Xenopus tropicalis: one gene and its partner. The protein of the gene in region 2 interacts with the protein of the main gene of each other region in a biochemical or structural test. Links are inferred from orthologs where the notes say so. Each region holds a gene or a part of one and is shown on either strand. Other genes may lie near its edges.

Region 1 (3,170 bases), on a different chromosome or scaffold from region 2:
GAGGGGGTTTGGGAGTTGTATTAAATGAGGGGCAGGAAAACATTATTGCAAGTTATAAATTCTCATACAAATTCATACATCCAGTATGAAAGGTTGCAGGCAATAACTTAGCAGCCAAATTATGAATGTGCAGTGTAGATTCATGTAATGGCATGTAACAGCTTTAATTGTTCTCTTTTGCAGTAGAGGAGCGAAGTCCTTTGGAGCTGGCAGACAGTATGCAGTCAGATGGACCGCGATCATGCAAATTTGGGCGTCACTGGTACCCTAATAATGAGCGCTGGCATCCAACTGTGACACCCTTTGGAGAGATGAAGTGTGTTACATGTGCTTGTGTGGTAAGTTGAAAGCTGGAGAGGAAATACATAATTGGGTTAAAAGAAGGCAAAAGCCCTCTAATGGAAAATATAGAATAACTACTTTAACAGTGGGAGAGAAATGTTGCTGGTGGAGAATTATTTATGGCAACAGGGAGAGGCCCAGGTAGAAACTTTATAGAAGGAAGACAGAAAGAGCTTTGGTGAGAATGAGGAGAGCTTAAACAATTTAAAAAAGGCATTGAAATGGTGCAGTGAAGCATAAATAGTGCAAATGAAAAAGACTCTTTTAGAAGTGTGTCTGAAATATAATATGTGATATGTATTCACAGGAGGGAGTTACACAGTGTCGGAGACAGGAGTGTACAGGAAATACATGTGGTACTGGTTCAAAGCGGGACAGATGTTGCACCAAGTGCAAAGGTAAGTTTACTTCAGCCCCTCACTATAAAATAAAGTATTGCAGTATACTAGTTTGAGCGATACTGCAGTACTCTTGTTAATTCTTCCCCCCCACCCTGTCTTTATCTCTTCTAGTCCAAACCTTGTGTAGCCAACATCTGGATTATATTTTTATGGTAGTGACTTATTTTTGCTGGCAATGTTGCAATTGTCACTATTAGTATTGTTAATTATTGTTATACCATTTGACAGTGTGAGAATGTTTGCCATTTGCTATGGCATATCACCTGCATCTTGTGCCAGATGTGATGTAACTGATGGAAAGGCTAATTTAGTAATACTTGTCATAAGCCATAGGCATTTTAAAATGGCACCGATTAACATACAATACAGACTTCCTCCTGGTCCCAAGGTCTGTTTTTGATTGTATCAGTAAATGCATTTTAAGATTTAAATCCATTTTAACAAGCCAAAATGTGGCTTAGTGCTTGTATCATATGAAATCGGTGTTCCAATCTTTACTGAGCACATGTGTCAGAGCTTTGGTTTAGGTTAGGTTTGCCACGTGGGCAGCATATTTACATGCTAGCAAATTCTGTCACAGCATCCCAGTACATTGTGGGTCTCTGCTTTATTGTGAGAATGCATTTTGCATTATTTTGGCTTTAGCAGTTGCTGTAGATTTTCTTACCTTTAATATATGTTTCTTACAGTGCCCTAGTAAACATGTGTTATGTCCGAATAAAAGTGTTTATGCAGAACATGCCATCAGTACCCCCATACACTGTAAATTGTATCTGTTACAGATGGGCAAAAGTAATTATATGCACACATGTGTACCTTGTGCTACTTTTATGTCACATTGCCTTGTTATTTTATGTCCACTAACTTAGCCTTTGTGATTCTCTTAAAGATGCCAAGCAAGATGAAGATGAAAAGGTGAAATCAGAGGAGACAAGGACTCCGTGGAGTTTCTAGAACGGAGTGCAACTGGGGCAATGGGACTGATTATCAAGGCTCATACAGGCAAGCCCCCAAGCCAAAACAACTGCCAGGACTCATGGATGGTCTGCACAATGTTTTGTCCCACTCTGATGACACTGCTACTGGATTATCTCCTTTTGTTTCATTTGCTGCCATGAAGCAGTGGGATTCTAGAGGCAGCATTTGGAACTAAAATACCTTGCCACCTTGGATTCATCCTTTCAAACACCCAGTCTGTCTTTCTGACAGAAGCAACTCTAAATCCTGCCTAAACAGGACCTGGAGTTTTAACGTCTGATCTGTAGAGTTATGCAACAGGAGCACAGGCACAGCATAGGTAGCTGTGCATATGTAGATATATTGACTAAAAGTGCCCTGTGGCTTTCTGCAGGACGGGAAGAAAAGTACAAGTGACAGACAAAGATTACAGTGTGCTTGCTGGAAAGTCTGTATATATGTCTGCGTGTGTGAATGTGTGAACGCATGATGTTACTTTGAGGGTGTATGAACAGACATATATCATTTCCTATTGTCCAAGCACACTCTTTGAGGAACTTTGTCTTGTATTATTTATGGTATTTTGAGTGGGTGCGGTACCTGTACTAATTAACTATTAATGATGGTCATATTTATTGAACTAAAATAAACTGAAGAAATTTTCCCAGTAATTGTTTTTCTATATTTTATTGGACATGGATAGAGAAGAAGGAAGTGTATATAAGAGGGAACTGGTAGGGGGGATGTCCTGAGTAATGCAAAGTCGTTCATTAATGGGCACATTCTACATTAAATGGCCAATATCCTGTCTGTGTTTTTAATTCATAAATTAAGAGGGATGCTGCAAATTCAGGATTCAGTTTAGGATTTGACCAAATCCTTAAAATATTTGCAGTATTTGGAAAAATATTTACGGTTTGGATTTAGTTCAGTTGAATGCTTAAAGTCATGTGACTTTAAAGCTCTGAACAACTGAATAAAATTATTTTTTGTTCACAGATGAAGCAATTTTTTTTATTAATTTCAAATGTGAATATGCAAATTAGGCTTTGGATTCAGTTTGATATTCAGCCTTTTTTAAGTATTTGGTATTCTGGTGTTTTCTCTGAATGTGAACATTTTAGATGAATTATTTTTTCCTGTTTTGAGCCATAGAAACTGTCTTATTTGTGCAGTGATGAATTTTCTCAAATCATTTTAAGATCAGATGAGAATAAGACTAGACATGGTGATTTTCCAAAATCTAGTCCAATGAGGTAGCCTGTTAGAAGAGGGAATATATTTGAAATATTAGTGAAGACGGAAATGAAGAAGTGATTTAAGACACTTTACGAGCATAAGTACTAAACTCACAACTACTGCTAAAGTGGTAATTGCACTATGGCTTTTGCAGTACAGGTGTGTATGGCAGAAAGATGCCCAATTAACATTGTTATCAACAAGTCACCCCAAATAATGATAAAAATAATA
Region 2 (3,832 bases):
ACCTGGAAAATTCCATTTAAAAAACAGCTTTGAGAGAACAGTACTTAAACATATGCTCCCCTACTACAGTTATATTATCCACCCACCCAGAAAGCATAATCTCTTCTTCATTATAGTCATTATTATAGCTCTATCCCATGGTACTGACCTCAAAGGACTGGAATGAGACTCCGACATGGAACCCGTCAGACACACTCAGCTTCCACACGCAGGCCTTGTTGGGTCTGTAATCGTCTGGGTAATTTGGGGACTGGATGTGACCAGAGTCTTTCTTTACGTCTCCTCCACACAGTGCTGCAAAAGTGAGAACGTTCAGATACTTAAGACAAGGTTGGACAAATTGGATCTAGTTAAAATGTTCAGGAAGTCAAGTGTGTTGGGGTATAAATAATAATGGGGGTAATGCAAAGCCGTAGAAGCAGGTGATGCACTTTAGAAGTCTTGGGACCAGGCAGAGATGAAACTCTGCACAAATGCTTAATTTCAGGCCTCATCACAAGGAGAACATTAAATTAGTAGCAGTCTTTGCCAAACCTTCTCCGAGGTCCTTGAGGACTCTGATTTCTCATTCTGTAATAAAGCCACTACTGTAGTCAATCAGAGGGCAGGCAAAGACTTGGAACTTTTACAGGCCAAGTTTTGCTTCAGATGTGAATGCCAATGCAGACTGTAAGTTTATGGTGTGTTTTAAGTGAAAGCATGCTACATTTCTGGGTTCCTGCTTCACCAGCATGTCTGACTTTCACAAGGAATGCTCCAGCATCTCATGAATTCATTAAATAAGCAAATAAACCATACTGGTTAGGGTGAGACATGTACCTTCTTAAAACAGAAGGCATTTAAATGCCTCTTGCTATACACATAGCACTACCTTAAAACCAAAAATGAAAGGCTTTAACCTTCACTTACACAATTGTGGGTGAAGACATGCAAATTACTCCTTAATGTTCTTGTGGCCATGTATCCATGGGGACCATAAGGAGTCATTTGCACGTCTCTGCCCATAATTCCTTACGTTTAAACCCTCTCGGTTTGGCTTTTTTAGACAGTGCCATGTGTGTAGCATGGGGCATAGGGATACCTTCTGTTTTAAGAAAGCTCTCGGTGCTTAAATTGTATAACAAAGACTACAGGTATTCTGGAAGCCAAGAGGCCCAACCTCCTTGACATTTCTAAATATCCAAATATTGTTTGATGTTTATTTTGTTTACCAGCATATTTTCAATTTTCCTGTAACCATCAGGTTCTGTTGGGTTAATTTACATCTCACTGAATCACCCTCTAAGGACTCCCATTTTTTTTCCTCATAGCCACATAAGCTATTCTCCAGTGTATGCTTTCTCTAGTAATGACATATTTATTCCCTTCATCCACAGCATGCAGTAAGTGCTATCATGACTCACCATACTAGACAGGGTACATGGAAATAATGGGATCATTTTAGGGATATCCTTAGTTCAACTGCCAACCATTGACCCCTGTTAGGTTAATCATAATGGTTTTACAGCCTGTTAGTCAGTTAGGCATGCATGATTCCAGCGGCCACCCTTTCTCATATGGTTTGGGCTTGTTTAACATTACATACATATTAAGAACAACAGTGCCAAACCCAATGTTTAGTGGTTCCTATAGAACACAATCAAAGTCAGAAGTTGTTGTGAAGAAGTTCAAAATGGTAACTCAAGGACAAGTAGATTAAGAAGTCTAACCTTCTTGGTCATGTGTAAAAAAAGGTTCCATTCTAAATTTATTAGTAGTAGTTGTAGTAAAGTCATGTAAAGCTGATTCTGCATTTCTCTGCAGGGCGAGAATCCGCCCCTGTGCTTAAAAAATCTGATCGGATGCAGGCACCGAATTTGAAGCAAGACTGCTTGTGTATGCCCAGTGTGGCATTAGCCTAGTAATGCAACATTATGCTTTCCCCTGCTAAAGCTGGGGGTGAAATATCTGGGGGTAATGCAAGTCAAGTCTCCCACCACTATTCTGTGTCCTTTCTTTTTGTTTGCACTGGAAAAAAAAAGCTTTGGAACCACTAATTTAAAATCTTTGGAAACTGTTGGGGGAAAGGCAGGATGTGCTGCAGAATCTTAGGAACAGGAAATAGGACAGCGACATATAGTGGAAATGAAAACCAATTCAAGAAAGTTATGGGAGGAAACCCAAGACAAATACATTAGTGGGAAAGTGAATCAAACTGGAGTGGAAAGTGGAGCAAAGTGGAAAGAAAAACAAGTAGGTATGTGAGATCTAGACTAGGTTAGGTGCTGAGTCATAAAGGATGTTATAGCATTCAGCATGGAGGGCCTTCCTTGTTCCCACCATAAACAATACATTCCTTTGCCTGTGGTTATGCCCAGATGTGATATCCCTGTAAGAACAATAGCCAGTGCATACAAATAAGTCCAGGACCCACATAAATGGAGGAAATGATGTTGTACTGCATCACCAAAATATATATTTATACAGAACGCAGTGCACAAAAGGACTTCAAACACATTAGGGCTCATCTATATCCACAAGCGCAGTTGTGTTTCCCCACTTGCATTTAAATGCTCTCCTTGCAATTCTCTATAGTTGCACTTGGTGCCTTTTAGTCCCTTCTGCCTTCTGTTCTGAATCAGATGCCTGTTGACACATGGAAACCCTGGACCTACCACCATCCCCTGACCAGGCAGTAGCTAGGGTTGCCACCAGTCCGGTTTTGACCCGGACAGCCCAGTTTTCATAGCCCCACCCTGTGACATCAATGTTCCCACCTCTTCTCCGCCCCGTGTTTGTCACCACCTGCCCCATGCCCGGTGAAAAAAGATGGCAGAGGTGGCAACCCTTGCAGTAGCTCCAATGTTCCCTTCACACCCAGTGTCCATAGGCGTAGCACACTTGTGCCTGAAGATATCATGGATATCACTAATGTGACAAACACAGAGTTACACGCAATTGCATGTGGTTTACAACAGTGTGTGCAGTTTCAGTAATTTTGCCAATCTGACATAATTCGGCAGGCACAGCAGAACTGCGGCCACAATGACACCAAAATTTGGGAAAAAACATGGCGATTGCACTTTGCTCACTGTACTTGCCTATGTACGTGAGCCCTATAGAATTTTCTGCTGCAGCCCGGGGGAGGGGGGGGGGGTTATTTGTTCAGATCCCAGATTTGGTAAAAAAAAAAAAAGCTATATTTTTCAACTTTCATTGTAGTAAATATTCATAAATATTCCTATTTTAATTATAAAAAGGCAATACGACTCCTTTAAAAAGTTATTGCATGTCAAAAAGTTGGTATGTCTGCAGCAGCACAGGTCATAGCTTGTGGAAATGTTTAGCTGCAGTCTATAGAACAAATATGCCTTCTGGAAAAACACGAGGAGTGGATACCACAATTTGCAAGGCTATCAATGCTACGTTTCAACTGCAATAACTGCTGAATGAAGCATTTCCCAGCATTCAGTGGGAAAAAGCGCTATAAGGTAATACTTTTTCTTAAAGGGGGCAGTGTACTCCTTATTCAGTATGGTTTCAATGTATAGGGCTTGTGCTGGACATAGCCAAAAAATAGGCAATAAGTAAGGCAAACAGGGGAATTTAAGATAATTTAAGATTACAAGCGCAAAGATAATTTAAGATTACAAGCGCACAGATAATCCCCCTGCATGGAGGATTTCTGTTAATCTATTAGCCAATACAATCACAACAAATGCTGAAGGGAGGGGATTGTTTATACAGAGCTCATTATATTTAAACTAAGTCAGCTAATTACAGGGCAGATGGTAAGTGTGAACACAAAAACGCAGTTACTACTTTGTGATAAGAACAAAAAAACTGAAAACAA

What was found.
Region 1: of the proteins of bmp1 (region 2) and chrd.1, one has a biochemical effect on the other in vitro, tested with the Homo sapiens proteins (3 studies listed by BioGRID and IntAct). The link is inferred for Xenopus tropicalis from reciprocal best matches to the Homo sapiens genes BMP1 and CHRD.

Annotation. Positions count from the first base shown.
Region 1 is NC_030681.2:99,630,283-99,633,452, forward strand, and holds the end of chrd.1 (chordin), read left to right. Parts: intron 1-183; coding exon 184-338; intron 339-649; coding exon 650-740; intron 741-1,632; coding exon 1,633-1,697; 3' UTR 1,698-2,506; downstream 2,507-3,170. UniProt on the Homo sapiens protein: Dorsalizing factor. Key developmental protein that dorsalizes early vertebrate embryonic tissues by binding to ventralizing TGF-beta family bone morphogenetic proteins (BMPs) and sequestering them in latent complexes.
Region 2 is NC_030679.2:129,645,347-129,649,178, reverse strand, and holds part of bmp1 (bone morphogenetic protein 1 precursor), read right to left. Parts: intron 295-3,832; coding exon 149-294; intron 1-148. UniProt on the Homo sapiens protein: Metalloprotease that plays key roles in regulating the formation of the extracellular matrix (ECM) via processing of various precursor proteins into mature functional enzymes or structural proteins.